Nothobranchius furzeri: one gene and its partners. The protein of the gene in region 5 purifies or fractionates together with the protein of the main gene of each other region. This does not show direct contact. Links are inferred from orthologs where the notes say so. Each region holds a gene or a part of one and is shown on either strand. Other genes may lie near its edges. The genes, in order: exoc8, exoc1, exoc7, exoc3 and exoc5.

The links.
Region 1: the proteins of exoc5 (region 5) and exoc8 purify together in Homo sapiens (affinity purification with mass spectrometry; 5 studies listed by BioGRID and IntAct, counting the BioPlex papers as one, with this or other methods). This does not show direct contact. The link is inferred for Nothobranchius furzeri from reciprocal best matches to the Homo sapiens genes EXOC5 and EXOC8.
Region 2: the proteins of exoc5 (region 5) and exoc1 purify together in Homo sapiens (affinity purification with mass spectrometry; 4 studies listed by BioGRID and IntAct, counting the BioPlex papers as one, with this or other methods). This does not show direct contact. The link is inferred for Nothobranchius furzeri from reciprocal best matches to the Homo sapiens genes EXOC5 and EXOC1.
Region 3: the proteins of exoc5 (region 5) and exoc7 fractionate together in Homo sapiens (co-fractionation; 4 studies listed by BioGRID and IntAct, with this or other methods). This does not show direct contact. The link is inferred for Nothobranchius furzeri from reciprocal best matches to the Homo sapiens genes EXOC5 and EXOC7.
Region 4: the proteins of exoc5 (region 5) and exoc3 purify together in Homo sapiens (affinity purification with mass spectrometry; 7 studies listed by BioGRID and IntAct, counting the BioPlex papers as one, with this or other methods). This does not show direct contact. The link is inferred for Nothobranchius furzeri from reciprocal best matches to the Homo sapiens genes EXOC5 and EXOC3.

The regions. Positions count from the first base shown.
Region 1 is NC_091742.1:10,760,566-10,767,250, forward strand, and holds exoc8 (exocyst complex component 8), read left to right. Parts: upstream 1-3,143; 5' UTR 3,144-3,292; coding exon 3,293-4,442; intron 4,443-4,605; coding exon 4,606-4,859; intron 4,860-5,002; coding exon 5,003-5,251; intron 5,252-5,366; coding exon 5,367-5,771; 3' UTR 5,772-6,092; downstream 6,093-6,685. Other genes in the region: DNA-dependent metalloprotease SPRTN, read right to left, coding at 237-970, 1,060-1,351, 1,427-1,555, 1,650-1,749, 2,135-2,466. UniProt on the Homo sapiens protein: Component of the exocyst complex involved in the docking of exocytic vesicles with fusion sites on the plasma membrane.
Region 2 is NC_091748.1:40,498,580-40,505,244, reverse strand, and holds the start of exoc1 (exocyst complex component 1), read right to left. Parts: upstream 3,823-6,665; 5' UTR 3,730-3,822; intron 2,989-3,729; 5' UTR 2,978-2,988; coding exon 2,854-2,977; intron 2,788-2,853; coding exon 2,657-2,787; intron 2,570-2,656; coding exon 2,410-2,569; intron 2,127-2,409; coding exon 2,109-2,126; intron 1,510-2,108; coding exon 1,322-1,509; intron 735-1,321; coding exon 507-734; intron 419-506; coding exon 286-418; intron 199-285; coding exon 89-198; intron 1-88.
Region 3 is NC_091756.1:53,830,663-53,837,130, reverse strand, and holds the start of exoc7 (exocyst complex component 7), read left to right. Parts: upstream 1-1,896; 5' UTR 1,897-2,032; coding exon 2,033-2,092; intron 2,093-2,252; coding exon 2,253-2,318; intron 2,319-2,955; coding exon 2,956-3,140; intron 3,141-3,236; coding exon 3,237-3,342; intron 3,343-5,672; coding exon 5,673-5,895; intron 5,896-6,334; coding exon 6,335-6,468. Other genes in the region: tvp23b (Golgi apparatus membrane protein TVP23 homolog B), read left to right, coding at 66-194, 271-297. UniProt on the Homo sapiens protein: Component of the exocyst complex involved in the docking of exocytic vesicles with fusion sites on the plasma membrane.
Region 4 is NC_091751.1:65,607,605-65,613,630, forward strand, and holds part of exoc3 (exocyst complex component 3), read right to left. Parts: intron 4,740-6,026; coding exon 4,614-4,739; intron 4,421-4,613; coding exon 4,320-4,420; intron 2,996-4,319; coding exon 2,885-2,995; intron 2,608-2,884; coding exon 2,466-2,607; intron 1-2,465. UniProt on the Homo sapiens protein: Component of the exocyst complex involved in the docking of exocytic vesicles with fusion sites on the plasma membrane.
Region 5 is NC_091758.1:32,179,421-32,185,208, reverse strand, and holds the end of exoc5 (exocyst complex component 5), read left to right. Parts: intron 1-27; coding exon 28-175; intron 176-2,011; coding exon 2,012-2,120; intron 2,121-2,280; coding exon 2,281-2,401; intron 2,402-2,614; coding exon 2,615-2,701; intron 2,702-2,776; coding exon 2,777-2,885; intron 2,886-2,973; coding exon 2,974-3,189; intron 3,190-3,268; coding exon 3,269-3,457; 3' UTR 3,458-3,687; downstream 3,688-5,788. UniProt on the Homo sapiens protein: Component of the exocyst complex involved in the docking of exocytic vesicles with fusion sites on the plasma membrane.

The DNA of each region.
Region 1 (6,685 bases), on a different chromosome or scaffold from region 5:
GGGTCTGACTACATTATAAACTTATTTATTCAAGTAGAAACCAGCTTTAAAAACATTTTAACAAAACCCTGCTGTTCTGTAAATGCAGTTGAGGCACAAGCTGTCAGAGAGCCACTTGAGTTAGAAAATACCTCAATATTACTGTCAAGTGACAAAATATCTGTTAAACTAGAGATTAAAGCACAAAACAGACATCTAAAACTTTGGTTCGTAAAACCATTTAGTTTAAAAGTCCTTCAGAACAGGCAGGAATCAAGATGCTCATTTATCTTTGACTCCTGGACTTTAGTTTGGCACACGGGACAGCTGACCATCAGCACGTTGGCGGCGGCGGAGGGCGTGTGCAGCCCTCCAGGGGGTTGAAGTGATGTGGAGGAGCTGGAAGCTGCAGTAACAGCTGATTTGGTCTTTTCCTGCTCCCTTGATGATGCTGAACTGCTGCTTAATGTCTTGTCAACAAAATCAAAAATGGTGGCCGAGCTGCTGCAGTCATCCCACAGCCTCTCCCTGGGCGCCTGACCTTGGCTCGCTGCCCCAGGTGTGTCGACACCGACAGAGGAAGAATTTGGAGACATTGCCGCTCTTTTAGTCTCTGAGCCTGAGGGATGGCTTGTTGACTTTCTGTGAGTTTTGACATTGAAGAGATCGTGAATGGACCTCTGCTTGAACGCGTCGGCCCCGTGACCCCCAGAGCTGCTCCTAGATTTAGGAATTTTAACAGGTGAGCCGTTAATGTTTACAAAAGCTTTTGTGTTCCCGACAGACGTCTTTGCAGGTGGCTTTCCCCCTGAGGAGGCAGCTGCTCCACTGGAGACGGTTTTGGTTTGGTCAGGAACGGAAGACTTCTTAGGAGTGGAGGCGACGCTGGACGGAGGTGCTGAGGGAGATGTGGAGGTCTGGCACGTCGCTCCTAAGAGGAAACCTTTCCCACTGAATGGGATGATGTTCCTTATATCCTGAGATCCAGAACCTGAGCAGAAAGAAAGAAAGAAATGTTTTTGTATTTGGTCCTGATGGCAAATCCTGAATAAACTACTTAAAAAAATAGAAAAACTTCACCTTTACTTGTATTTAAAGGCTTGCCAGTACGTAAAGTCTTCTCTGAGGTGTTTGCATCCTTCTTCCCATCTTTTTTGCCTTTTTTCCTGTATCCTTCTGGCTCTTTGATCTTGGTGTACGTCCCGCCACACATCCTTTGATGATCCTCCCACCAAGGGTCCAGAGAAGATGGAGCTCGGTTGATAGCCCTCTTCACATAACCAAAGAAAGGCCTCCGGCTCTGGCAGGGCCCATTGCACCTCCACCAGTGCTGCCTGTAGACATCGACCTCATCATGGAAGCTGTGGTAGATCTGACCGAGGGACAAGAGGAGATTGTTATCGTAAAGTCAACCAAAACCACACAGAGCTGAAGGAGAAACACTTACTGTGATTTTCGTCCCACTGGCCTTGTTGATCCTGTTCATGTGTTTGCAGAACTCAGGACCGTGGCCTTCTCGGTCTCGGTTGTTCTGGGTCACAAACAGCAGTGCATGAATCATTTCATGAAGGAGAGTCTGTGGAAACAATCAAATTAACAAATTATTAGCAATAATCTGGATGAGGATTTTCTGTCTTTAAGATCCACTAATGTAAAGTGACCCATCCCACCTCCACCAGGTCTTTTCTGGGTCTCAGCTTCAAAAGAGGCTCACTGAGCCGGATGGAACAGAGTCCGCCTCGGCCTTCGTAAGAACACACACCAGCACACCTAGGTACGGAAACACACAGGAGGCATTTTCTCAAAACTCTGTTATTCCTGTAACACAGCGCTGGAGTGGAGGACATCAAAACAAGAAACAGGACACATTTTATACAATAGAGAAGGCCTTAACATTGCATAGAAGCACAAGGAAACCATAATAGAGCTTCATGAAACTGGACATTTTTTGCTTTTTTAGAAATTATGTTTGACATACTTTGTGTCAGATATTTAGTGGTACCCATTTGTTTAATCTTTTACCTTATTTTTCTTCAATAATGATGTTTTTCCAAGCATCTCGCGCTTTGTGGCTACCATATTTGAATCCCAGTAAAGCCAACAGTGTTTATAAACATCCCTGCTGTAGGAAATCTGGTGAACAAACAAAACTTACAGTGTCATTCTGGGGCTCCACTTCACCTCGACTCCGCTCAGTTTCCCCCAGAAGAACAGGCTATTAAACTCCAGAAACATGGCCCTCACATCTGGGTTTGGGTCCAGCATCTCCCAGGACTCATCCACGATGCTCAGGGGTTTCTCAGGCTCGTGACCCGGCTTCCAGGAGGGGACAGCAGCGCTGCCACCTCCGGCTGCTTCCACTTTCCGTCTCTTACTGCTTTGTTCGAAGTAATTATCCTCGAATCTATTTGATGAGGTTAATGACGTCTCGTACTCATTATCGAACTGCTCCTGTAATTTAATGGCAAGCAGGAAATCCGCATCCATGACATCAGAAGGCAGCTGTGCTAGCTTGTTAGCTGACTTGCTAATGTAAATAGCACGAAGTTCTGGAACAAACGACGTCTGCAGCCTAATTATAAAATCAACCTTTCAGAGAAACATCGGTAAAAGGACTGAAGTCATGACTTTGAAAGATGAATCTCATCTTCTTGTCAGCCAAAGGTATCTGTAATAATAGTCGGTCTGTCCACAGCTCGCGCCAAACAGCAGGTTTGCTACATGTACTACATTACAACGAGTCTCTTTCCGTATGAACTTCTAAATAAAAAACTACTTCAAACTTAATTTCGTGTTTGATTTGGCTTTCCCCGCTTAGTTTTGTATCTTATTTTAATCAGCAGATGACTAAAATTAGCTTGTTTAAACGCTGTTGAAAATCTGTAATGTTTCTGCAGCTACCGTAAACTTCCGGTAGGTAAATAGTTGGACAACAAAACACCTATTCCGGGTGTTGTTCAATAGCCCAGTAATCAGTAACAACTGCAAAATAACAACACACAAAAAGCAAAATGAGTAAATAAATAAACAGAAGCTTTAAAATAAAAATAAAACATTGTTTGGTTTACCTGAAAGATCAATAACAATTTTGTTCTGAGTTTTTGTTGATCATCCTTTTTGTTCTCCCTTCTCGTGACGTTCATGTGACGTTGACAACCCGGGTGTTGGAGAAGCCAGATCCTTTTGGGGTGTTGACCTGTTTTCAGCTTCCTGTGTTTGTTGACGTGGATATGAAGGCGCTCGTTCTCTGTTTGCGTTTCTCGTCAGTTTGTTAACAGTTTTGCTTAATAAGGAAACACGCAGACAACCAAAGATGTCGGAAACCGGGAACCGACTTCGGAAGCTGCTGGAATCGCCCAACTTCGATCCACAGAACTACGTCAAGCAGCTGTCACAGCAGTCGGATGGCGACAGAGACCTTCAGGAGCATCGTCAGAAAATTCAAACTCTGGCTGATGAAACGGCCCAAAACCTCAAGAAGAACGTGTACAAGAACTACAGACAGTTCATCGAAACGGCCAAGGAGATCTCCTTCCTGGAGAGCGAGATGTACCAGCTGAGCCACATCCTCACCGAGCAGAAGAGCATCATGGAGAGCATCACTCAGGCCTTACTGTCCACAGACAAGGACGAGACCTCCAAAGAGATGCAGGCAGCGTTCCCCAAAGAGACAGAGGACCTGAAGCAGAGGACTCTCACCTCACTGCTGGAGAAGGTGGAAGGAGCTAAAAACATCATGGACACCCCAGGGAGACACCTGGTCTACAATGGAGACCTCGTGGAGTTTGATGTGGACAACATGTCCCCCATCCAGAAGGCTCATGCTTTCCTGATGAATGACTGCCTGTTGATTGCCACCTGGCTGCCTAACCGCAGAGGCACAGTGAAGTATAAATACAATGCCCTGTATGATCTGGAGAGCTTTGCTGTGGTCAACGTAAAGGACAACCCTCCCATGAAGGACATGTTCAAGATTCTCATGTTCCCAGACAGCCGCATCTTCCAGGTGGAAAACAGCAAAGTCAAGAAGGAGTGGCTGGAGATCCTGGATGAAACCAAGAAAAAGAAAGCCTCCCAGGACAAACACAAGAAAGAGGAGGAGGTCCCCACCTCTCCCGTGCGAGCCGAAGTGTCCAACAACCCTTTTGATGTGGATGACGACGAGCCGGCAGATGCCGAGGAGAGTGTGGACCTCAGTCTCGAGTGGATCCAGGAGCTGCCCGAGGACCTGGATGTGTGCATCGCTCAGAGAGACTTTGAGGGTGCAGTGGACCTGCTGGACAAGCTGAACGAGTATCTCAAAGACCAGCCTGCGACCCAGACGGTGAAAGAGCTGAAGGCGAAGGTGGATGAGCGTGTGCGGCAGCTGACTGAGGTCTTGGTGTTTGAGCTGTCTCCTGATCGGTCGCTTCGTGGTGGACCTAAAGCGACCCGGCGGGCCGTGTCCCAGCTCATCAGATTAGGTCTTTATTTGTATTAATAAGATCTCACAGACCATTAAAATGTTGATTTCCCAAAACCAGTAAACATTTCAACACAAAGCCAGAGTAGTCCTTGGAGAATCCATGCCTGTAACAATTTAAAGTTATATTTCCAACAGTTGATGATGTCATTTCTGTGTTTCAGGTCAGTCCACCAAGGCTTGCGAGCTGTTCCTGAAGAACCGCGCCGCGGCTGTCCAGACGGCCATCCGGCAGCTCCGCATCGAAGGAGCCACGCTGCTCTACATCCACAAACTCTGCAACATTTTCTTCACCAGCCTGCTGGAAACTGCCAAGGAGTTTGAGACGGACTTTGCGGGGAACACGGGCTGCTACTCTGCCTTTGTGGTCTGGTCCAGATCGGCCATGACGATGTTTGTGGACGCGTTTAGCAAACAGGTCAGCAGAGGCTCAGCGATGTCCCTAACATGAGTCAAGAAATATGTTTCGATCATTATTCTTGATAAAAAAAAAATCAAGATCAATTATTGTTCCAATTATTTCAGAAAATGATTCAAAACGGCCAATTTTCTGTTTTCCAGGTGTTTGACAGCAAGGAGAGCCTGTCGACAGCAGCAGAGTGCGTTAAAGTGGCCAAGGAGCACTGTCAGCAGCTGACGGAGATCGGCCTGGATCAGACGTTCACGCTGCAGTCGCTGCTGGTCAAAGACGTCAAGGCAGCCCTGCTGAGCTACAAGAACATCATCATTGAGGCCACAAAACACCGGAACTCTGAGGAGATGTGGAGGAGGATGAACTTGATGACCCCTGAGGCTTTAACTAAGCTCAAGGTCGAACAGCCTTCCTTAATTCCCAATTTTGTGTTTGTTTCTTTTGTTTGAAGAAGAAAACTAAAGAAAATGCGGGTGTTGAGCAGCATCTAAGGCTTTTCTCTTCGTCTTGCAGGATGAGATGCGTAGCTGTGGGATTAGTTTCCAGCAGTACACGGGCGATGACTGCTGGGTGAACTTGAGCTACACCATCGTGGCCTTCACCAAGCAGATGATGAGCTTCCTGGAAGAGGGTCTGAAGCTCTACTTCCCCGAGCTGCACATGGTGCTGCTGGAGAGCCTGAGGGAGATCATCCTGGTGGCCGTGCAGCACGTCGACTACAGCCTGCGCTGTGAGCAGGACCCCGAGAAGAAGGCTTTCGTCCTGCAGAACGCCACCTTCCTCCACGACACCGTGCTGCCAGTGGTGGAGCGGCGGTTTGAGGAGGGTGTGGGGAAACCGGCCAAACAGCTGCGGGACCTGAGGAAGAGCACGAGGCCGGTGCGGATCAACCCAGAGAGCACCACATCCTTAGTCTGAGGCCGACAGGAGCTTCGACGGCTCGTTTAACAAACCGCGTGAGACTGAAACGGCGGCCGGTGGCCACTCCCCCCTTCCCTCCCTGTCATTTCACCTCCCCCCTCAGACCCGATCCACAACACTAACTACTGGGTGTTTAGATGCTGCAGGAAGGAAATGATGGTAAAATGAAAGAGTCAGTGATGACACAGTCGGACGTTTTATTTAAAGTTAAATTTTCCTGCTGCAGCTTGTTTAGTTCTCAGTTCTTCGGGTTAATAATCCATCATACAAAACGCTTCAGTCCAATGAAAGAATAAACCGACCTCTGCTGGTGTTTGACCTCGTTTACGTGAATATTTTATCTTACAAGGGATTCCTTATGTTAGCAAAACATCTGGTTTTAGGAACGTTTAAACGCGTCAAAATGATTGTATTTTTATTGTCACGTAAAGCTTAAACACACGAGCATGTGACGTGGGGATGACTAAAATTAGCACTCAGATATTCTGTTAAATTGTGGTTTTTGTCTGCAACCAGTAACCTTGTTAAACATACTGTTAGTCTTTTTTGTTTTTAGTATAAATGGGAACTGCAAAGTTTTTTTTTTTGGGGGGGTTGAAATGGGTCCCATTTATTCACACCTGCAGCTTATGCATGCAAATCCATTCAAATCCAATAAAACATGAAGGTTGCTGTTTAATTTTAACAATAAGAAGAACAGAAAATGTAATTTGCAATAAAAACTAAAGTTTAAACTTCACAGAAGTTTCTTTTTCATGTTTTTTTTCTTTCAGAAACTACAAAGTAAACGTTTCTGGTAAAAAAGATCAAAGGTTTAGTGGTTTGAAACGGCATCCTTATTTACAGCTCTTTCATTCCTTTTTGCTCACCTACTAAAAGTCAGATTTAGATTTTTTTTAAGCTTAACGCAT
Region 2 (6,665 bases), on a different chromosome or scaffold from region 5:
TTTAAGTTAAGGTACAGAAAATCCACATGAAAGAAATTGTCCAGCCTGAGTAGGAACACGGTTGTAAAGGACAAGACTGAGCACTCACCTGGTGAACAAACACATTGTTAAGGTGATTGGTGAGGCGGCGAGCAAACGTGTCTCTCAGCTCAGCAAACAGAAGCTGCTGCTGCCTCACAGCCATCAGCTTTTCATGACCTGAAGGAAGTAACGTACACTTTCATTTGATTGAACACTAAAAAAAAACTACAAAGTCAATTTATTTCTGCAGAAGTTACTCAATACCTGGCCGCAGAGCCACGCTCATGCACTGCAGCAGAGCTTCAGAAGCATTGATGCAGGCCTCTATCCCTTTAGGGGAGGTGAGGTCTCCTTCCTGCAGAGCCCTGATGTGCCCCTTTGACAAATCCATGTAGTTCTACAGGAGGAGAGAGGAACCAGAGTCATCTAACAACACACTGTGACTCAGTGTCACACACACACAACTGTGTGTTATAGCGCCTCACCACTAAGAACTGGATCTCATCCAGCAGTTTGTTATTGTTGGTGTTGCTGATCTGGATGAGACGGTTGCTCTGGGAGATCTGATCCATCTGATCCTTGACGCTCTGGAGCATCTCCTCGTAGCTGCTCAGCTTTCCCTCAATGGTGTCCACCTCTGTCAGAGCTTCATCCAGCAGCTGCATCAGGATATTGACCTGCTTCTCTGATGCCATGATGGACTGGATGTTGGCCTTTAGGAAGACACAGATCCAGAGATGCCTTTTTGGTTAACTCATTAACTGCTATTGACGACTAAAGTCATCATTTTAAATCCAACCGCTCGCTGCCATCAACAACTAAAGTCATCAATTGCATTTTATTACTGGGCAGGTGTGGGAACAAGCCCCCACACCGTGAGAACAAACATCCCGGCTCCAAAGCTGATCTTCAGCCGCTCATGTCACACACCACCTGATCAGAAAATCCATGTATTAGGAGACCGTTTTGGGCCGCCGCTGTGATAAAGGTGAGGTGGGAACCGGAGAAGCATCTGCCATGACGACGGATTATGAAAGAACAGATAACTCTAGAAACACGCGGATCCGTCCTGATGTGGGAAGTGAGTCTACCCTTTGTTTTGGTGATCTTGGAGTTGATTTCATCATTGAGCACAACGTTCTGTGACTCTTCAAAAAACCGTTAAAACGCTCAAAACCACTGGCAGCGAGAGGCTTTTCTGATCCGGAAACTGCTGGCAGTTAATACGTTAATGATTTGGGTTTTCTGAGAAACTAGCAAAAAAAAAAAAAAAGAGAGCGTCAGTGACTGCTTCGCTCACCCCGTCTAAAACTTGCAGCTCCTTGAAGAGCTTCTCTGCAAAAGCTTCGGCGTTAGAGATCGCGTACTCGCACGTCTCCATCATGCTCTCAATGTCCTGCTCCTCACGAGTGCTGAGCTCTTGGTAGTCATCCAGGGCATCCTCGTCGCCTCCGGCAACACTCTGGCTCTCACCGCTCGGCACCGACTCTAAGTCCATGAAAATAAGTGAAATTAGGAATACAGATGATAATACCAGAAGCACTGCCATTGTTGTCAGATTATTTTTTATTATTTCTTTGATTTAAATAAATAGAATCAAAGGTATTTAGAGTTTAAAGAAATGCTACTAAAGGCCGTAAAATCTCATTTATTACCGACATCTGATGATAATGTAGCAGGGATATGAACACAAAATGAAAACCAATCTCAGGCAGTGGCATGAGGTCAAAAAGCACATACATGAGCTAAATTTTATTTAGTGTTTATTATTAGACTATGACTATTTTAATACATAACATGTAGAAGAGGTGAGCATAAACTATGTGTACAGTGCACTAATGCCACAAAAAAATTAAGTCATGACTTAATGTGGAATAGATAGAATAGCTGAACAACCTAAGTTTGTGTTACAGTTGATGTTATAATTATCATTAGTATTATTATGTCCTCCATGTTTAATTACATGATTTAAATCACAGGAAATGCAGGAAAACTAGAATCTTTGATGAAAATGGTGGCTTGGGGTCATGAACAGTATAATGAAGAGGTAGGAGGAGGGATCAAGCGGAAAGTTTATTCCTACCAACCTTCAGCTTTAGGAAGCTCTGGCCACAGAAAGATCAAGAGAAAAAGAGTGAGAATAAAAAAAGAACTTAACAAAGAAAACTACTGACACAAACCAACATACAAAGAAGAGGCTTTCAGTTTTAAAAACATGCTACCTGTAAATAAAATCTACCAAATTATGGAGGTATACACATTACACATGCAAAAGGTTGTAGAGTTGTAGAGCTTGAGGGGAAAAGATGCATCTTTAAAGAATTACAATTAAGTTATAGTAAGGAGCATGCAGACTCTGAGCTGGCTGAAGTTTTAGCATTTACCCACCTTCAAGGAGCTGAGAGTTGACGTTGACAAACTCCAACTTCTTCCTTAGATAACGCTGGTTCAGCTTCCAGATACAGGAAATGAAGGAGTTTTTTTCAGCTGTGCTGCTAGCCAACCATCGGTAAACCTTCTCAAAATGAAGATCAAACTCTGGGTTTTCCTACAACGTAAACAGAGCATGCATCAGTCCTAACTGCAGAGTGCTGAACCAATAGGGGACGCCATGACAGACCGTGTGACCTCTAACCTTGCTTGCATCTTTGGCATCTACTACTGTCAGGTCTCGGAGCTCCCAGGTCTGCTGTCTCTTATAAAAGTCCCCCTTGTCAGATTTCTTCACCTTAACCACTTTAACCTGGACTGGCCTCTCTGTGGTAACTGGAAAAAAAGTCCTTTTATCATGAATGTTCTTTACAGGAGCTTCCGCAGCTTTCACACACATACCTGTAGCACACAAGAAGCAGTTTTTCTTTTTCTTTCCCGCCTTGCAGACATTAACTATGCCGAGAAGACGCTCGTCGTTGGGTGTGAAGATGTCCCTCTGGAGAGCGTGCTTTATGGCTGTCATGGTGGATCGTACTGTCATACAGAACAGAACAAGTCATGAATCTGATCAACGCAAGACGTATCTAGTGTTCGGTTCGTGATTTCCAGTTAACAATAAAACACATATTCAGAGTAGGAACTCAGAATGAAGTGGGGAGGGGGGGGGGGGCGGATGAGTGATTCAAACACCACCAACATTACAGAGAGCGAGGCCCTTCAGAGAACACAAGAACCAAACTTCAAAAATATCAGACGTTTCACGGAAAAACATTTAGAGATTCAGCAAAAAATCCCTAAAAGTTATATCAAGTCTTGATTTTTTTCCTTTGCTATCGAAAAATTCTTTAGTCGTTTATTTAACCCAATTTGACAGTTTTTAGCAGCACAGGAAAAGGTTACTGACTGGTGCTTTTGCAGACTGCACTGTTTACTGTTTAACGTATACATAAAGCCGGAGATTGAATCTGAGAGACTATCGTAGTAAATGTTTCTATTAAGCAATAACAAGCTACCAAACCCCGAATTAAAGGGTTCTGAAGCAACTTAGGTCGTGTATGTGGTACAGAATCAGCACTAGTTCCTATAAAAACGTTGTCCTCTCTCCGGTTAGATATTAGTCCTAGGCTAGCATTGCTAAGCTATCGACGATCAGCAAAAACTGCCCAACGTGCATTGTAGCTACATTCACAAATGACTCTACATTGCGTGTTTAGATATCGTAATCAAAATATTCTATAAATATTGAAAATAGTATAGATTTTACGTAGCATTTACCTTATTTTCATCCGCTGCAGCCCTTCAAAGCACCGCCCTCTCACTTCCTGCTTCTCGGCCACAGCTGTCATGTGACAACCCAAAGGCCACGCCCACTGGAAATACTAAACCCATTTTAATGATAGTTTTTTTTAAAAGTTATTGGTCATTTTCAGTAATGTGCGAAATTCTTGGAACGAATTTAACTTATTTAAAGCAGTAACTGAACAACGTGTAAGAGCCAACCCTGAACTGAATCTATTGCTGCTAGGAGCCAGGTCAGTGCTTCTGTGCACTACTACACCTTTACAGTTACAAGTTACTTCTGACACCTTAACATGGGCCTCTGTTTACATTTAGATTAATTTGACTCAATAATTTACTTGATATTTTAGATATATTATTACCATGTTTACTTTTATACTTTCACATTATGCGCCTGAATGCGTGTATGTGTGTGTGTGTGTGTGTGTGTGTGCGTGCGTACGTGCGTGCGTGCGTGTGTTAGATGATGTTGCCCCTTTAAAAAAGAAGGTAATTAGGGATAGGCGGTTGGCTCCCTGGTTTGATTTTCATTTACGAACTTTAAAACAAAACTCTAGAAAATTGGAGAGAACACGGTGCTCTACACACCAGGAGGAGTCCTACTTATCCTGGAAAAATAGTCTTGTGCTTTATAAAAATAAGCTTCGACAAGCTAGAACTGCTTATTTTTCAGCGCTAATTGAGGAGAATAAGAATAATCCAAAATTTATTTTCAGTACAGTTGCCAAACTTACACAAAATCATAACTCTGAACCATCGATTCACTCAGCAGTAACAACTTTATGGAATTTTTCACAAGTAAAATTAATTCCATTAGAAACAAAATCTTTAGCATCCTCCCTAATGTGATTTCTTCTTCCTCAGTAAGTGAGGCAGCATCAGAGGTAACTGTAGAACCTCATCTGTGTTTGAACCGTTTTGATCCAGTTGAGCTTTCAGAGTTATCAAAAATATTAGCTTCATCTAACTTCAACTTGCAATTTAGATCCAATCCCAACCAAATTATTTAAAAATGCAATTCCTTTGGTTACTGCCCCCTTTCTAGGTATAATCAGTCTATCCTTAGTAAATGGGTATGTACCACAGGATTTTAAGGTTGCTGTAATCTAACCTTCACTTAAGAAGCCTTCTCTGGATCCAGATGACCCAATGAATTATAGACCAATATCTAACCTTCCATTTTTATCCAAAGTCCTGGAGAAAATAGTGGCCATCCAAGTATGTGAGCATTTAAACACCAATGCTCTGTTTGAGGAATTTCAGTCTGGTTTTAGAGAGTATCACAGCACTGAAACTGTATTAGTGAAAGTTACAAATGATATTCTCATGGCCCCAGATAAGAATCTCAATCAATCAATCAATCAATCAATCAATCAATCAATCAATCAATCAATACTTTATTAATCCCAGAGGGAAATTAGAGTTTCAGTACACACAATTCAGAGATCAGACATACATGGGCAAGACACATGACAAGAATTGGTAACTGTGGTCATTCGCAACCCGAGTTGGGCTACCTTAATAGAGATAAGAGGGTTACATGAGAGTTGGATCAGGTGGAGACTCCAATAGGAAGGCGGGGGGGGGGGGGGCTGGGATCCTGATTCCCCCAGCGGAAGCAGCCATCCACGGCGGTCATCTGCTGTACAGTCACAGGTGGGAGGGAGATCTTGGGAGAAGCGAAGAGCACATTGTCTCCAGCAGATTGATGACCTTGCCAGGTTGAAGTCCACCAATCCAAAGGCGGGGTGGGGGGTGGGGGTGGGTGTCGGGTTTTTACAGCATCTGTCTGCATTCCTTCGTGGGGGTTTGTTGCTTGCCGCTCAAGTAGGGATGGGTACCTTTGACATTTGAATCGATCCGGTACTAATTACCGGTACCTACGAATCGATACCGGTACTTAACGGTACCAATTTTCGATACTTTTGACTGTTTATTATTTTAATTCTCTTTTATAATTAAATATATTTTTTCTCAATATATAACAATATTTGATAAATATCACAATAAATAACATACAACTGTTTGTATTTTAACATCGTCCTTGTAGTTTTATAAGCTGATAATTAAACTGAAGCAAACATCTTTACTGTGAACTAAATTTACTGTGTATCTTTATTCCTTTTGCCGTCTTTTTTCATTTGATTTTTCCTACTGGGAAGTTAGAATTTCCGAGGAGAAAGCGAACGCACCATTAGCTGATAACAATGGTAGCAATGGAAGCTAAGATATCAAGCTAACAATATCTTAAACAGTTTATTTAGCTGCTGAAGCAGATTAAAACGATGATGCCTCACACTTAGATCGTCGCTGGTTTCGTCTTCACCCGTCACATTTAGTAACCTGAAGCCAAACTTTAGAGCGCGTTCATGTTGTTCTAGTCGGGAATTCAGAGTTTCGAGGAGAAAGCAAACGCACCATTAGCGAAACGGAAGCTAACATATCAAGCTAATTATATTTACCTACCGGAGCAGATTAAGATGAGGATGTCTCACTTAGATCATTGTTGCTGGTTTCATCATCACCCAGTTACCCATCACATTTAGTGAAGTGGACCCAAGCTTTAGCGTGTGTTCTTTCTACCCATGCTGCTCTGTTTACAACTGGTTCACAGCGAGCGACGTTAAAACGCTCTTGCTCATGCGCAGCTGTCTTGGCAAGTTCTCGTTATGATGGACGGGTACCGAAACGAGGCACCGTTTGAAATGACGTGAATCGGTGCTCGGTAGGTACTATGGAATTCGGTCGGTACCTTGAAAAGTACAGAATTCGGTACCCATCCCTATGCTCAAGGCTACCAGGGCGTCATATTCAGATAACATGACTTTGTTTGGGTCAGGCTGAGATTATTTTCCTCTCTGCCTTCAGTCTTTAAACTGATCATTCCAGTCCTTCAGTGAAGCCCATTTTGG
Region 3 (6,468 bases), on a different chromosome or scaffold from region 5:
TTGAATAAGCAGGAACAGACTGATTTCCCAGCTTTTAAGTGATGACGCTGCTGTATTTGTGCCAGCCTTTGGTGATCATGGGTCTGGTGCTGCAAGGGGCCAACCTGTACGGATACGTCAAATGTAAAGTGGGAGCAAAGACCAGCTTAAGGAACATGGCCACTAATTATTTTGGCAGACAGTTTCTCAAACAGGTGAGTTGATCTTTGAGTGAAACACAGCGAAGAATCTTCTCCTCGTGTGTGTTTATGAAAACTGTTTTATTTTCAGACTCTGTCTAAAGAAGAGGAGTCGTAGAGAGCAGCGCCACACATCTACATGATACCAAGTGGACACAGTTCAACCTCCTCAACATAACAGCTTTTGTTTTTCCTATCTTGTGTTTAATTTAAAGTTTTTTCTTTTCACTTTCTTTGTAAAGGTAGAGGTTTGGCTGCTTTTTTTCAGTAACTGAAACTGATTAATAAATCTGTACTCATACAGGCATGAATCATTCAAATGACTAGTTTGTGCTGGAGCCTCATGAATCTATCTTCAGTTTGTTTTCATTTCCTAGAACTAGTTTATGTAATTGTAAAATGTTAATCAGAGCGTTTGTATGAATACATTTTGCATCCATAACAGTGTGTTCAGATTTGTAAATATGTATACAAACTATGAGAACCAACTTCTTGTCTGCAAATACATTTGTAATTTTTGCGAATGGTGTGTTTTTCTTATTAACCCATCAAAACAATCCTATTAGTCATGTTAAACACACCTGTGACCAGTGTAAATCCAAATGATCTCCCCTGGAGGGAGTCAATTTCCCTCAGCTTGTAATGCTGTAGTTAGCTGGGGTAAGCACTCCACAACTATAGTGTTTATAAAAAAAACTTTTATTGTGTTAAGATGAAGGAAAGGCATGTTTGGGTGAGTTTCGTTCTTGCTGACCCCTAAATGTCATTCAGGACTATTCAATTCTGCTTCTGGATTGCTGGTATCCAGCATGTTTTAGTTTGAACTGCTGCAGCACACCTGATTTCAATCAGCAGGTGATTAGCAGGCTTCTGCATAGCCTGATGAACTGCTGCACAGGTGATGCAATCTCTGAATCAAGTGTGTTGGAGCAGAGAAATTACTAAAACATGCTGGATACCGGCCCTCCAGACCCGGAATTGAATATCCCAGCTATAGGTTTTTATTTGGAAATTTTACAGGAGTAGCAAATAAGATAATGTAATGTTATGAATGTAGTTCTCGGTTGTTTTTCTACTCTTCCACTTTCATAATAATATACCAAAAAGAATAAAAACAAACACAATTTAATTGAAATAAATAGGCTAATATTTAGAATCAAAGTGAAGTTCCGTTATTACTCCACTGGAGGTCGACAACTCGTTCACTGCAGTTTCATTAAAACGGTTATACTTTTATTTGCTGGACTCGCTCTAAATGATTTGCTGTTAATAATTAGTGTAAAGACATGTTTCCTAATTCAAGTATCGTGGTTTAAATTCAATTCAGATACCGGAAAAGACTAACACGCCTCACCGGATACTTTCTAAACATGCCTTCAAAATAAACTCAAACATTTATGATGTTTACAAGTAAACAAATTAAACTACAAACAAATTGCGAAACCTTAACACCATTAAACATACTCAAATTTCTAATGTTCAGTTTTACATTTAATAGCTCAAGGCTTTAAAAATATCGGATGAAAGCTAAGTGCTCCCCTGCCGAAACCTTTCTATGTAGTGTACCCCGGAGTTTTATCTGATATAAATAGACACAGATATTTAGATCTAGAGTCAATATTTGATGTCAAATGCTCAGTAAAATGCATTTTCCGATCTGATCTCCAAGTGTTGATTTATTCTGAAATGACAGCCGGAAGTTACGGCTGTTGGGGCTGTCCAACCTAGTTTGTGATTGCTACCTTTAGCTTTTAGGAACTGTGGCTTTTGCTAGTTTTTTTTAATGACCTAAACAGGTCTGTAATCGCTCATTCCTCCTTGGAGACAGCCCTTTGACGGGAACTAACTTCAGGATGATTCCTACTGAGGACGCGTCCGCCAGGAAGCGGGAGATTGAGGAGAAACTGAAGCAGGTCAGACTCCGATGGACAGGAAGGGGCTTTATTCTGCCCAATTCGGTGCTTAAAACGAACAATAACAGAGTCCAGACACCAGCTGAGAGCAAACTCTGATCGTTCTTAGTGTTTTCAGACTGTTTGTGGTGAGCTGTTGATTTTCTGTGGGATGTTACAGGAGCAGGAGACGCTGTCATTCATCCGAGAGAACCTGGAGAAGAGCGATCAGCTGACCAAAGGCATGGTAAGAAAACAACACAACATCCGGGTCACCTAACGAACAAACGTTTCAAAAGTTACCAATAAAAAATTATAAGGTCAAAGGTCAGTCTAGGTTTCAAGGGACACGTTTCGTTTAATATACAGTTATTAAAGCGACCAATCAAATAAAATCCCGTTTAAAAATTAAAGCAGAAAACATAAAAAAAGATAAACATTTAAGATTGAAAGTTGAAAATAGTGACTTTACATGTGTCTGAAATGTTTCAATGGATGTTGTTTATTTGAAACTGCTATTTAATCGTAAATTGTTAGTTTTTTGTCTGTTGAAACCTTTTTATTATTTTGTATTTTATTTATCTGAAGCCCACTTTGACTAAACTAAGACAATTGTTTCCGTTCATGTGGGACACTGCTAAGAGTTTATTATATATTATATATAAGTATTTATGGTTGTAATCTAAACTCGATTTCTAATTTTATTATACATGAATCTATGACTTTTTTTTTCAATAAAAGCACAAACTATCTGTTAGGTTCCAATGATTTAAAGGGATTTTGTTCTAAACACAAGTTTTCTTTTGTCTGAACCGAACTAGAAGCCCTATATTTATATTCTCAGTGTTTTGAACCTTTTGTTATTTTCTTTCTCATCCTGAAAGGTTTCCATCCTGTCATCGTTTGAGAGCCGCCTAATGCAGCTGGAGAACTCCATCATCCCGGTCCACAAGCAGACAGAGAACCTGCAGCGACTGCAGGACAATGTGGACAAAACTCTTTCCTGCATGGATCACGTCATTAGTTATTACCACGTGGCCAAAGACACTGACAGGATCATTCGAGAGGGGTGAGGACTGTCTCTGGAAACATTAAATGGTTCTGCTACTGGTATTGAGTCATAACGTGTGTGTGCGTGTGCGTGCGTGCGCTTGTTGTGTCTCAGACCTGCAGGCAGACTGGACGAGTATCTCGCTTGTATCGCAAAGATCCAGAAAGCTGTGGAATACTTTCAGGACAACCACCCTGACAGCCCTGAGCTCAACACAGTGGTACGATCTCATCCTGAATCTGTTTGTCCTGCTACTAGGACACATTTGACTGAATCCTCTCATTGGTGCTAAAATAATTTATTCTGGTGGTGGAAAAAAACAGCCGAAAGTCCAAATCAAAAATAGAGTATGACCTTCAGAACTCCTGAGAAACTGTTGATCAAGATAACTTTAAAGGGAACATAACTTTTTTTCTTAAATTATAACAGTTCTTTGGTTGATACCAAATATGTTTATGAAGTTTTTTTGCACCAAATCCCTCTTACGTTAAGTGATTTCAGTAGTTTTATTCTTGACAGTTTTAGTATCTTCCAGAGTGAGCCATTACGTTGCTTTAGGAAAACAAGCTGTAATTGGCCACGCCCACCCATCCCACTCACTCAGGCTGCTATTAGCTGAGAAGCTTCGATATCCAGGAAAGGATCAGAGTAACCCCTACTGCTCAATGGAAGCATCAGCACTGCAGAAGAGCAGCAGAGCGTCACTGCTTCAAATAAAACCCATTCAAATCTATGGGGGTGATTCAAACCAGCCGCGACTCGGCCATTTTCAGATGCATCTCAGAAGTGGCACACCGCACCGCTAAAGATGGGATCGTGTTCTATTTTTGCCGCGAGCCGCTTCCGGGATGCAACAATTAATGTAGTGCTAGACAGGAAATCACACACGATTTCAGTGTAAAACCCCAGTAATTTTCAAAATAAATGTATATTGCAGCGATGCGACTTCACATTTATGTAGATTACATCAATACAAGCGACCCAGCGGCTTATTTACTCCCTGCATCATTCCAGAAGTGCAGCTGTGTGTTTTTTATGGCTTTTGTCCTGGCAGTTGAGAGGAACAACATCATATATGTCAACAAACGTGATTTCCTTCTTTTTGGTTTAATGGCGGACGACATAAACTTGAGGGATTTTGTGATCTCGCGAGTTAAGCAAGGAGGATGGTGGAAGTCTCGAGGGATTTTGTGATTCCGCTGGTTGAGCGAGGAGCACAGCAGAGAAGCCGCTTTGCAGCTGATACTCTCCCGGTATGCTCTGGAGTGCAGCAGTTGTTGCAAGTAAGTCTTTCTGCTGCTGCTCCGTGCCACAGATGCTTCCAGTGTGCAGTAGGGGTAAGCCACTGGTCCTGCAGCAGCAGTTCTCTCTTGCACATGAGGGGTAGTTCTAATCTACTTTCCCTGTTTGTGACATCACAATTGGGGGATTTTTGAAACAGCTTTTTTTAGGCACTTCATTTTTTAAACCAAACGCTGACAGAAAAGAGATGGATGGATTTTTCATGTTTAGAGTGTTCATTTACAGTTCAGTTCATTTTTATTTCAAAGATTTCACACATGTATCATTACAAAATATAATTCCATTATTTGTTTGAGAAGGAGTAGGCAGAAGTATTTACTTATTTGTCCCTACCCCCAAGTTTTACCTCTTATTCATTTAATTTTCTTTCAGTCTTAAATTAAACAAACAACATATGAAAAAAAAATATAAAAAAACAAAAACAAACAACATATAGAAAACAGAGAATGTGTAAATTTGCAGTTTCACCAGTTATGGAGAAAAAAAGAAAAAAGAAAAAAAAAACACCGAAAAAGAAGCACAACAGCATGACCAGCCACATTACCGTCCTGGGTTAACCCTGTTTTCTTCATTCTTATACTTATTTAAAATTAGGTTTTTATATTTTACTTTAAACTGGTTTGTTTTTACTTTCTTTTATCTCTTCTGTTGGACTGTTCCATAATTTAACTCCTGCAATTGCAATTGACCTAGTTTTTAAAGTTGTTCTAGCACTTTGTATTTTTAAATTCAATTTCCCTCTTAAGTTATACCCACCTTCTCTTTGTTTGAACAATAAACAGATTTCTTTTGGAAGCAATTTATTTCTTACTTTATTTACAATTTAACACCAGCAGTGACTTTCCACTCCCATTATTACCTGTTCAAGTGAAAACATCAATAAAACGACTGAACAAGAACATAGTGACAATATAAATAACAGTAACCATCTATCATTTTAGTCATTTGTAATAATTTACATGAAAACAACTATTAGTATTTAAATTATTTATTTATTTTACATTTAATTGGGTTTTTGGGGCCCATTTCAGGACCACAAACTTGGTGTTTCACGACCCACAGTAAGGTCGCGACCCCAACTTTGAGAACCACCGTTTTACTGTTTGCACAAATTGACTAGGGCAGGGTACAGAGGATGTAATGGTCAGAGCTAAGAGTCGAAGCAAAGCTTAATATTGACAGTAAATCACATAATGGTACCTTTAACTTGTTCATTACGAGATAACAGCTTGGATATTATTTCTGCAGAAAGCTCGTTTTGAGAAGGGTAAAGAGCTGCTGGAGGCCGAATTTCGGAGCCTTCTGAACCGCTACAGTAAACCCGTCCCCCCAATTCTCATCCTGGACGTTATCAGTGTTGATGAAGACATGGAGCTGCAGGAGGAGGTGTTGCTAGAGCACCTGCCTGAGGCTGTCCTCCAGGATATCATCTGCATCGCCAGCTGGCTGGTGGAATATGGACGCAACCAGGGTATGACTAGTTTTAGAGGTGTCTTACGTCTCACTATTTATGAATATTTGGTCCTAAAACTTTTTGGGTTAAACCTGTGGAGTCCTCATCATTGTTTTGGTTCCATAAGTCCAACAAATTGTCTTCAGTCTCTGGGCAGATTTTACACACCAGCTGTTCCTGAAGGTTGATTTTCTTTTATGGTTCATTAATCACAGCTTCCAGGGTAATCATCATGCAATAGGAGGTGGTTCAGGTTGTAGTCCATAACCACCGGTAGGTGTGGGCCATGTCGGGACCAGGAGGAGACCATGGTGGAATCATTATTAGCTGAAATAGTTAAAATACAGAAAATACTTTTCCCCTTATAGAAGCCCATTATCTCTGAGCTAAGTGTTGTCAGACTGTGAGGTATTTAGACACTTCTCTCCCGAACCATCTCTTCTTCTCCTGTCTTCAGATTTCATGAACGTCTACTACCAGATCAGGTCCAGTCAGCTGGATCGCTCCATCAAAGGCCTGAAGGACCACTTCCGTAAGAACAGTGCCTCCTCTGGGATCCTCTACTCTCCTGCTGTCCAAACCAAACGGAAG
Region 4 (6,026 bases), on a different chromosome or scaffold from region 5:
GCCCTTAGTGTCTACAGAAGTGATTCATCACTAAATTAAACAAACCAGTTGTCTTCATGATCTAAAACATGCAGGAAACGTGCTGGAGCCAGACTGCAGCGCCAGGTGTGTCAGCTAACATTTTTCCCGCCAGCAACAACAGACAGCTACAGCTACAGCTTATAAGTCTAATCCTCCCATATTCCAGTCAGAATTGACAAAGCTCCTTAAATGAGAAGCAAAACGTCATCAAGAAACCAAAGAAGTCCAGTTGCCATCATCGGAACGCTTTGAACCTGTTGAACAAAGATTTTTGATTCCAGACCTGCGTATTAAAAGAAAGCAGTTCTGGATTACCTCTCGATCTGTGTGTTAATAAAACCAGGCTGGGAGGTCAAAGAAAGGCTGTGTGTGGGTGAATGTGTGTGTGTGATTTGACTCCTGATCTCCTAATGTCGTAAATAATGGATGTGCTTCACGACTCTGCTGTTTTTGGTGAATATATGTTGTGGCTTTAGCCTTTTACTGACCTCTGTGGGGTTAGTCCAGAATGCAATAAAGATTCAGGGTAGACGCTGCGTCTGGGATATGCTTATGGTTGGCTTAAGCAGACCCCTGGAGAAGACAAGGAAGGCTCGCCTCGCCCTGTCGATTGATGACCACAAGCCTGAAGAACACCAAGCAAGAGACGCTGGGAGGAGTCACAAGGCTGAGCAGAGTGCTTCCTGAAGCGGGAGTTGTCATGGAGACGAAGAGGAGACAAGAAGGAGGGGGAAGTAAAGTAATAAAAAGGGGGGCCCAGGAGAGTTCTGAGTTCTGGGAGAGTTCTGTACGAGTTCGGTGGAGCTCTGTGTTTTTTCTTACCCGCTGCGTTGGGGTGATTCTGTTTGGATTCATCTTTTTTCATCCTATTAAATAAAAACCTTGGTTTCTTACTGTAAGAAACTTAAAAGGATTTTGGGTGCCTGGGGTCTCCGTTGGTGTCGTGTAACCAAAAAGGTGAGATGCTGGTTACTTGTTATCCCACTCCAAGAGGTTTAGGCCAGTCATTTTAGAGTCATTAACCTGAGCAATACATGAGCTGCAGGTGACTAAAAGATGTGTTTGGGTTTGAACCGAGTCTTCCTTTCAGCTGCAAGCAGTCTGTTGGCTGGGATCAGAGTCTAGGTCAGGGGTGTCAAACATGCGGCCCGCGGGCCGGATCTGGCCCGCAAGCGGGTTAAATCCGGCCCATGAGATGGTTGTGTAAACTTTATTTTCATACTTTACAATGTAGAGTGAAAATAAACTTATCTTTGTGAGCAAGTTTCCTCTGTAATGAGTATAAATAAAACAAAGCTGCGCTCAAGGCTCACACAAGAACTTGAATCACTTCCTGAAGTTGGCCGCCACTCAGGATGTGACTTCTGATGTTGATGTGCTGGTGAAGCTAAAAGATGTAAAGTAAAATGAGTCAAATATACTTTAAGTGCTGCATGAAACTCATCTAGCCATGTGATCTGTAAGCTCTTTGAATCACTAAGGAATTTTTTTTTAATTTTATTGATTATTTTTTTCAAATTTTCAAGTACACTTCAGGTGTTGTACTTGTACTACACTGTCCTCAGGCTCCAGCCTCGTTTTATATTGATTGTATTAAAACAAAGAAAACAAAGAAAACAATCTGAAGTTTTTTTTTTTATTTACCGGTCCGGCCCACTTGGGACTAGATTTCCCTCAATGTGGCCCCTGAGCTAAAATGAGTTTGACACCCCTGGTCTAGGTTAATGGTGATCGCTGATCAGCTCCTATAGTGTGCAGGCAGTCATAGAGAGCGACTGAATATCACGCCCACGCATAAATAGAAATACAAGTCAACCCTGAGACGTAACATCTGTTAAAGAGTCAGCTAGTGTGGGAAGATGGCTTGTGACAGAACCCCAACGTACAGGCACCAAGATGGAGGGCAACAAGTATGCCCACCCCTGCTGGGCGCCTCTCAGTGGGAGCAACTCCAGAGTGGTAGAAAGTCCAACCTCTCTCGAGGAAACCAGAGCCAGAGCCACACGTTGAGGTAAGTTTAACTACATCTAACTGGAACTTCTCAACCTCACACACCAACTCCGGCTCTTTCCCCACCAGACAGGCGACATGTATCGAGAGCTAGCTTTTATAGCTGAGGATCAGACCACCAAGGTCCCTGCCTTCTGCTACCACCCGACACACAATGTACCAAACCTCTTTGGCCCCTCCCACGATTGGTGAGCTCAGGGGAAGGGGGACATACGTCTCCTCTTCAGGCTGTGCCCCGCCGGGCTCCATGGGTAAAGTCCCGGCCATCAGGCACTTTCTAAAGTTCCCCAACTCCAGAGGGGGGCCCTGGTGACCCACGTACGGGCGACGCAAAATCACTCCCAACTCCCTCAGAGGCCTTTTTTTTTTTTTTACAAAACACTACAGGAAATAAAGTCCTGAAAAAAAAGTTGGACATAATTGAGTTGTGTTACCTCCAGATCCAGGAAGACTTCGTCTAACAGGAACTGGCAGCCCTCCTTGGCCACCTCACCTAGTGTCCTGTCAATAGCAGCGTCGCTGTCGCTGAGCTCCGAGGACCGGGAATACTTCCTCTTCAGACTGCTGATGGACTCTCTGAATAAAAACACGCAACAAAACAATCACCACACCTCTACCTGGATCTGATAGAAGCAGCAACACTAAAGCCAAGGCGGCAAACTCAAGGCAAGGTTGCTAATCAGCACAAAGCTTTACTTTCACCTGTAACGTTCTAACTCATTTACACCTGCCCCCCAAAAGACTCTATGTCTCCTTCATGGTCCCAGAAATACACCAGTCTGTCCAACCTAACGCAACTGGAGATAACATCCTGGTAAACCCAAGGCACTAGAAGGTGTAAATAAGAACTTACTTGAATGTCTGGCAGTTGTTGATGATGGCTATCATGTACTGTACATAACACTGAGGCAGCTGTCTGTCTTTCAGGTGCTCCTCCTTGTAGGCAACAGCTTCCTCCCGATATCTGCAAGCACACACACACACACACACACACACACACACACACACACAATCGTGGCTTGTAAATCATCTTCTCAAACCCCAAACTGAGTCTCGATGGATGTCTGCTCATACTGAGCCAGGATCTGCTGGAGTTTTCCTCTGCACTGTCGCTACATGCTACCTTAGCATGGGGATTGCTGTAAACTAAAGTCTCTGACACAACAAGTCAGTGACTCGATGCAATCTGCTGTGTTTCCTTACGAAACTTAACTTGGTGCACTGATAAGGGATGTTCAGTTGGAATGTTTACTTTGTTAAGTGCCTTGAGACGACTCTTGTTGTGATTTGGCACTACGTAAATAAACGGAACCAAAATCGACTTTATCTTGGGCTTGTTTTATCTCCGGTTCTATTCTTCTGAACATGTCCGACGTGTTGGCTGAAGAAGAATAGAACCGGAGATAAAACAAGTTCTGGTTCGGAGCAAGAGTTTAAAAAGAAGTTAGCGAGATCCAGCATTTATTTTGGTAACCAACTTCCGCTTATTGGCAAGCGAATTAGCATATTGGCTAAATGTTTAAGTACCAGCTAAATATTTATTTTCCACAATGTTATTTAGCTCCACACTATATTTTATATTTTTGGGTCAGACTTAAATATTTATTTCCCAAATATTGATTTTGCAAACTAAATGTTTAGCTCCAAAATAAATATTTAGCTGGGATCTAAATATTTATTTCGGAAAATAAATATTTAATTTACAAATTAAATATTTAGTTCCAAAATAAATATTTAATTAGTAAATTAAATATTTAGTGAATTAAATAATTATTTTACAAACTAAATATTTAGATCAGACCTAAATATTTAGTTTGCAAAATAAATATTTAACTACAAATTAAATATTTAGCTTGCTAACTAAATATTTATTTGGAAACTTTAACATTTATAAATGTATGAATAACATGATGAAAATATGACTTCGAAAAAGTGAACTCCCAATTTTTTCTCTTATGATATGCTAAATAACCAAAAATATTGCTGTTAGATTGTGACTGTTAGACTTTACAAATGGCATCCCATAGCATTTGCGTCATCAAACAGCAAGTATATAACAGCCCTTAGTCATTCACCCATTCACACACTGAAGATAATGAGCTACAATGTAGCCACAGCAGCCCAGGGGCTCACTGACTCATTTCCTCAATCCATCTCTGAGTTGGAGGACATTCAATAACTGATTGTGTTTTACCAAACTAATTCAATTGGACTTAATTTACAAATGAATGAATTCTGAATGAATGAGGGGCGAAGACCAAAGTCTCAAGATGTATAAGAACAAATACCTGACGAGGAAAGAGTGCATCTGCTTCAGGCAAAGCTTTAGAACCTGTTCTTTGAAGTCTCCATCGATCTGTGCAGCTACCTGAAGATTTTGTTCAAACATCTAGAAAAGAGTTGATGGACCACAGGGAGGGAGGGAGGGGAGAGAGAGAGGAAAGACCAATCATGGGGAAGACAAACTGACATTACTGCATGCAAATTCCTTGGTTCTGAGCCAAACTAACAACAGACACCCTGCAGGTTCAGTTAATCAGGGTTCTGCAGCTAAGTCGAGAGAACAGAACTTTGTGTTTCACCTGAAAGACGATGGCTGGCAGCGTGGTCTGGTAGAACCCATCCTGGTCTGCCTCAGGCTCGCTTTCCTTCTGCCAGTCCTTCTTATCCGTCTCCAGGGCCTTCCTCAGCCAGCCTGTTATATTAGACTGGAAACAAGCAATCCATCAAACGCACGCGCACACACACACACACACTGAGCGCCTTGTACGGCTGCTCTCGTGGCCCGCCTGTATCTGTTTTTGTTCTCCATGTCTGTGTCTAACCTTGGCCTGTGCTCTGGGACGCTGGGGCAACAACAATAAAGATGATCTTGGCTCTGATATTACTGAAGCATTCGGGGGTTCTTGCAGAAAATACTTTTACAGACCCCAGAATTAAACTTCAGCATTAACTTTGATGGTTCATCGATGCATACTGGGAGGCCTCACAACGGCCCGGCGTCACCGTCGACAGTGACCTTGATCTAGCATAAATAAACGCCGAACCTCGGTTCTGGTCTTTAAAATCACTGATCTGTGGGTCCTCGGGTCAAATAAAACCAGTTTAGTGTTTTCACAGCAAAGCCGGGCGGACACTGTGTGACTTTTTCACTTTTTTTGAGCCGATTTTCCAGTCGTGCGAGAATCCACGAGATCGGGGCGAGTTTTGCGCCGAGCGTCGTGTAGTGTACAGGGGGTTTCGAGAGGCCATTAACACCACGTGACCAGCTACCGATCAGCAATCGTGAGCTCGCACGGACTTCTGGCGTGTTTGATATTTCGCTCGTCCCTCGTGAGGGTATCGCACTGTTGAAGCGGCGCTGCGAGCGGCTGCGACCCAAAAGTACCAGAACCGCCCACGACGCATGCGCAGTCATGCATCAACACCGCTCGCCCGCTATTTTCCTAACAACACACGTTGTTCGTTTTTATTTCTACGTGTTTTTTACTCACAAAGATTGTCAAGAAAGCGTGTTTGTCGTGTTCATGTCAAATTAAACTGATCACAAAACACAGATTTACTTTCTTTATTTCGTTTTCCTCATCCAACCCCCATAAATCCCTGTGTGTCCCCCTGCAGCACTCCCGAAGGACAACAGGCAAGACAAAAAAAGTCTGACGTGTTGAATAAAAACTGCTATTTTTAGCATATTTTTAGGGCCGACGTGTTGCTACCAGACGTACAGTGTGAGCGCATGACTCGTGAGATCTGCCCTGCGAGGAAGTCGTACCGTTTGAGCTGAAGCTGAGTGCTACGAGTGAAAAAGTCTCACAGTGTCCGCCCGGCTTAAGAGACCAACTCTCATACTTCTGAGGAGTAAATATGCGAGTCGAGCAAACTCTGAATCAAATAAACGTAGTTGTGTGGGTCAGCTCTCGGTGTGCGGACTCAACCCTGAGGAGCTGAATTAGAAAGTTTAAGTCTAAGGTTGTTTTGTTTCTCTGTATCAGATT
Region 5 (5,788 bases):
CTGGAAATGTTAATTGTCTTCTTAAAGCATTCAAGACCTGAAAGAGCGGATCAGACAGCGCACCAATCTTCCACTGGGCCCCAGCATCGACACCCACGGGGAGACCTTCTTGTCCCCAGAACTGGTTGTTAACTTGCTGCAGGAGACACGTCATGCCTTTGAGAGATGCCACAGGGTGAGCCGTCTCTGCTTTCTGCAGACCGAACAGCTGATTGGCTTGCTTTTAGCACATCCTAGTGTTCCCTAAGGTTTCCCTTTTTTTCCCACTACCTCCTCGCTGTGCAGTAGCGCCCCCAGAAAAAATTCATAGGGTGGCCAGGTGGGGCTAGAGAAAATTTTGGGGGTGGCACACCAGGTTGGTCCGTATGGTAGCTCTGCAAGCCTGTGTTGATGCATTGCATGCTCCTTTATTCTTTTTAATTAAAAACACAAAATGCATCCAACACACTTACCTCAGATTTGAAGAACTTTTCACAAAAACATCTATAAAAACTTTAGAGATTTAAACGTGTTGAGCAGGAGAAACGTGTATACTTTTTAAAAATCTGATTATTTATTTATTCTTTAATTGTATATGTTATTGGGTTTAAATAATAATTAAATAATATTCTGTGAACATTGATATGATTCATCAAAGAACATTGGTCTTCTCTGGCGTGGCCAGCATTTTCTACCCCTTGTGGGCGCCGCTGTCGCTCTGCGGTCGACTTTTGAACCCCATAATCTAACTGCTGAAATGTCTCCTCAGCCTTCATTAGATTCCACAGGAGTGATTCATCACTAAATCAAACAAATCAGCTGTGTTCACGATCTAAACAAACAGGAAACGTGTTGGAAGCAGACTGCAGTGCCAGGCATGTCAGCTCCCCTTTACTAAGTTCAGCAGAGACTGGACCGGCACTCTGAAGTTGCAAGTGTGATATTCTGGCCACAGAGGGCGGTGGAGGTCTTAGTGGCATTTCATTAACACTGTAAAAGGTCATTTTAGCACATACTGGCTCGAGAGAGTTATGTAGAATAAGGAAAATGTTGCATAGTATGCCTTTAAAGATGGATTATGTGTTGTTGGAAAAATGCATTCAAGCAAGCTACAACAAAAAATCTAAGTACCAATCCCTTTCTTCAAACTCCCCCCTAGAGTTACAGAATCTGATGGTGTCAGAAAATGGTAAAACATCTGCTTGTGACACACACACACACACACACACACACACGCAGGTTTGCTGAGCTGCTAAGGTCAAAATGTTCAGATCCAACTCCGAAGCAGACCTCCTCCCGCGTGTCCCCTCTGCCAAACTAGAATGCTAGCTTTTGTGGCGTTTGGTGTTTTTTTTTTTGGTGAAAAACAATCCAGTTTTCAGCTTTCTTGGTTTATTCTAAAATTCAAAACCACTACGGTTCTTTGCCACCAGCACAAACAAAACTTCTAGAACACGAACTGAACTCTGTCCTTTCCGCCTGCTCAGGGTGAAGTGCACACATTAGGGCTAGGCAATAAATCGAACATTTATCGTTATCGAGGTGAAATCCTCGGGATATCGTGACATTGATTTTAGGCCACATCGCCCAGCCCTAGCACACATAAACTCACACACTCACTCGTTCCCACGCAGAGTTGAGACTTTTCTCTTCATTCCCAAAACAAAACCTCCATCACCTAAACGTTTCCCAACAGGAACAGAACCAGACTCTGAACAGGATGTGTAAAACAAATGAGACTTGCAAACGGAACAGGACATTTCGTCCATGACACCAAAGCAGCTCAGCTAGCTTCTCTTCCTGTTCGGCTGCTCCACCGAGTGCGAGCATGTCCTGCACACACAGTGTTCTGTGCAGATCAATGATGGATGGGTTATGATCCAATCATTTAGAAGGGGGATAAGGTCTTTTCAGGACTGTGTGCTTCAGAGGCGGTTAAAACTTTATTTTTTGAGATAATATTTGATTCATTGGTCGTTGGTGGAGAGCATCTCAAGGAAAAATGTTTATTTTTTATTTTTTTATTTAACAGCTTTCAGATCCTTCTGATTTGCCCAAAAACGCCTTCTCGATTTTCCTCCTGCTGGTGGAACATCTGTGTGTGGAGCACATCGACTACGCCCTGGAGATCGGCCTCGCAGGTACGAACGTCTAAGTGACAACAGAATGTGTCCGTCTGGTCTTTCCAGATCATTTCTCAAAATGAACATTTTTTTTAAGAGTCCACCTACTGTAAATGATAAAAATGATGCTTTCATCTACATTTTGATCTGACTGGTCTCACGTCTGTTTGATCTGCAGCGATTCCTTCATCTGATGCCAAGAATGCCAACCTGTACTTCCTGGACGTGGTTCAGCAGGCGAACTCCATCTTCCATTTGTTTGACAAGCAGTTTAATGACCAGCTGATGCCTTTAATAAGGTCGGATACAAGCCAGCATTCTAGTTTTTGTGTACTTTATTCTTTAGCAAATACCCAAGAAATGTTTTTGTTTTCCATGGAAACGCACATAAACACGACTATAGGACCCTTTTATGTGTTTCCATGAAAAACAGTGAAGTTTCTAAGTGATGCTTAACTTTTGAGCAGTGCTTTCATTAGGGGGTTAGCCTTTGAATTCACTCTCGTCTACAGCTCTTCCCCAAAGCTGGCGGAGTGTTTGCACAAGAAGAAAGAAGTGATCGAGCAGATGGAGGTGAAACTGGACACGGGAATCGACAGGTTGATGTGTTTATAGTGTAAAATCTGTTTCCATGAGTAAATGGAAACCTTCTGATCTGCGTTTCTGTCACACAGAACACTGAACTGCATGGTGGGGCAGATGAAGCACGTCCTGACCACTGAGCAGAAGAAAACGGACTTCAGGCCTGAGGATGAGAACAATGTCATGATCCAGTGCACTTCAGTGAGAGACTCGCCCCATAAATAAAATGAATCGTTTTAAGATAAACATTTGTTGATGATACAAACCATTCTCCTGGTTCCTTCGGCAGGCCTGCTCCAAGGTGTGTGCCTACGTCAGTCGGCAGGTGGAGCACGTGCGGAAGTCCATGGATGGGAAAAACGTGGACACGGTGCTGACGGAGCTGGGGGTGCGCTTTCACAGACTCATCCACGAGCATTTACAGCAGTACAGCTACAGCTCCATGGGGGGCATGTTGGCCATCTGCGACGTGGCCGAGTACCGACGATGCGCCAAGGACTTCAGGGTGAGAGAGGAACTTTGAACGCGGCTTGGCTCACTTCACCTGTAGTTTAATGCATCTGCTGTAACGTCTCCGTCCTCAGGTCCCTCTGGTGCTGCAGCTCTTCGACACACTCCACGCCCTCTGTAACCTGCTGGTGGTTGCTCCCGACAACCTGAAGCAAGTCTGCTCGGGGGAGCAGCTCACCAACCTGGACCGGAACCTTCTGCACGCCTTTGTCCAGCTCAGGGCGGACTACCGGTCAGCCAGACTGGGTCGACATTTCAGCTAATGACTCCCGGAACGCTCGCTGTTCTCCGTCCAAGGATAAATGAGCTTTGATGAGAAGATGCACCTTCAAGGTGATGCATCATCACACAGACTACAAGCAGTGGAAGACTGCTTGTAGGCTCCTAAAAATGTGGGAAATGTGCATTTTGTATTTTTATTTTCAATGTCCATCAAATTAGAATTCCCTTTGTTTTTAAACACCAATTGTTCATAAATTCATGTTATAATTAAAATAACTGTAATTATATCTCTGCTAACATTAAAAATATGTTTTGCTTGTGCCAAATATATAAGTCCTGCAGCTGCTCTTGTGCACAAGAATCCACTCTGGTGTTGTTTTAAAGGGAAACTGTCAACAACCAGGGTGCAGACACGAGCTCTGCAGTTGCACTGCATGATGGGAACACACAAAGGCCGAGCTTCATCTCCCTAAAGGTAGAAACGGCCATGATGCCGGTGTACCAGAAACTTCCAGTTCTGGTACTCAATGTACATCTGTGCAGGGAGAAGTTTATACATTATTCATTAAGGTAAAAAAAACTTCCATAAGTTATTACTAATTCAGTTTTTAGTGTCCGACATGACTCAAGCACAAGTGTGTCTAGAATACATTTCAGTAGAAACCAACATTTTGATCGTGTAAGCTTTGATCAAAGGGCATGAATTAAAAATGGCTCAGTTCAATCCAAACAGCCAATTAGGTAAGAAAGAATGGATTTTTCTGACATCTTGTTGTTGGTTTAGTGTAAAAAAAATAACCTAAAAGAGACACATGACCACCTTTTCATATTCTGACTGCCAACCACAAAGGCTGAGTCAGGAGGAGATCCCAGCGAAGTGTGATCTGAGCACCAAAGAGGGCCTGAGAATCTCTGGAGGGTTTGGGTGGTCCCCTCATGGCTCAGGTGCTTGGGTCACTGAGTGTGTGTTACTGTAATTGCTCAGATCAGCACTCACTCATCCAAGACTGAGCATTGTTGGGCTGATCTGCTGCATTTCTGGGTCAGAGGACACTAAAATGTTGACCTTTGGTGATTAAGGCTCCAAGGTAAAAAGGGACTTCTTCACACAGGGCTTATTTGGGCTCCATATCACCTGAGGTCATGACCCGCTGTACTGCTGTTTACCCCGATTCAATAAAAGACGCGTTTTATCATCGTTCATCTGTGTGGATAATTATGTTCTGAAGTTTGCCCGTTCCTCTCTGTGAATGTCACTTTCAAAGTGGGATGAAACAGTCCTCCTTTCTGTAGAAGTCATCAAGTATTCATAGGAATTCTTGCCACCAGTGTAAAGTTCCTTCTCCGACTTCAGGAAGTGAGCCGAGCCAGAGGGGATTAGATATCTACCAGCTGATGAATTGTGTGCAGTAGTCATGAACTGAGGGGGGGGGGGGGGGCAGAGAGATAGAGACGGCTGAGAGCTCAGTTCCTGTGCCGGCTGGTTAGTGTTGTGTAGAAGGTACACAGTGCTGTTCAAGTTCAAACAACATAGTAAATTAGGCTAATATTAATATTATCAATGCCACATAAATTCAATTCTCTCTGTCCTAATCACAACTGGATAGCTTGTAAAAATTATTGAGTTAGGCCCTGATGCAAACAGCGGCTCTTTTCCAAACATTTGACAGCTATTTGTTTTCGCAGCGATTAATGTGGAAAGGGGTTTGGGAGGGGGGGTGGAGCGGAGCCGGGCCAGAGACGATAACTGGTGTAGAGATGGAGGCAGCCGCGCAGCCTGGCCCTCAGGGGCTCCCAGCACCGCCGTACGGAGGAGGGGGAGGGAGAGGGGGTTGTGGGGGGGTGTTTGAGCAGGTGGAGGGGATTAGTAATATTGTCAACACTGGAGAGCTGGATAAGACCGTCCTCTTTAACTCGTCACTCCGAACAACTCTTGTACGCGCGTTTGGAAGCATAAGGAAATAAAAACTACAGACCGAGCAGGAAGACGAGCGTGGCTCAGACTGAGGTCGGCTATTCCTAGAAAGCTACCAAATCAAAGGAGTCATGTAGGGAAGTACAAATACATGGTTACTTTACTTAAAGGTGCAATAAGTAAGACTTTTACAGTGAAATAATCACAAAAAAGTCTCAATCAAGCTGGAAGGAAGGTTAGATTGAAACAGATTTCCTTCTGGCTGGGTAGAGGCCAGATTTAATCAAACAGCCGCAAAGCCGAGCCGACATCTGGGAGCCCTAGGTTGTTTAGAAGTGGTCAGACCGTGGCGGTAATGTGGCACAATTGTGTACCTTTATAAAAGAGTAGGTGATGGCGGTAACGCGGGGGTTTGGGGGAGGTCTCGGCGCTGAGAAAGACTTTATTTTAGCTTGAA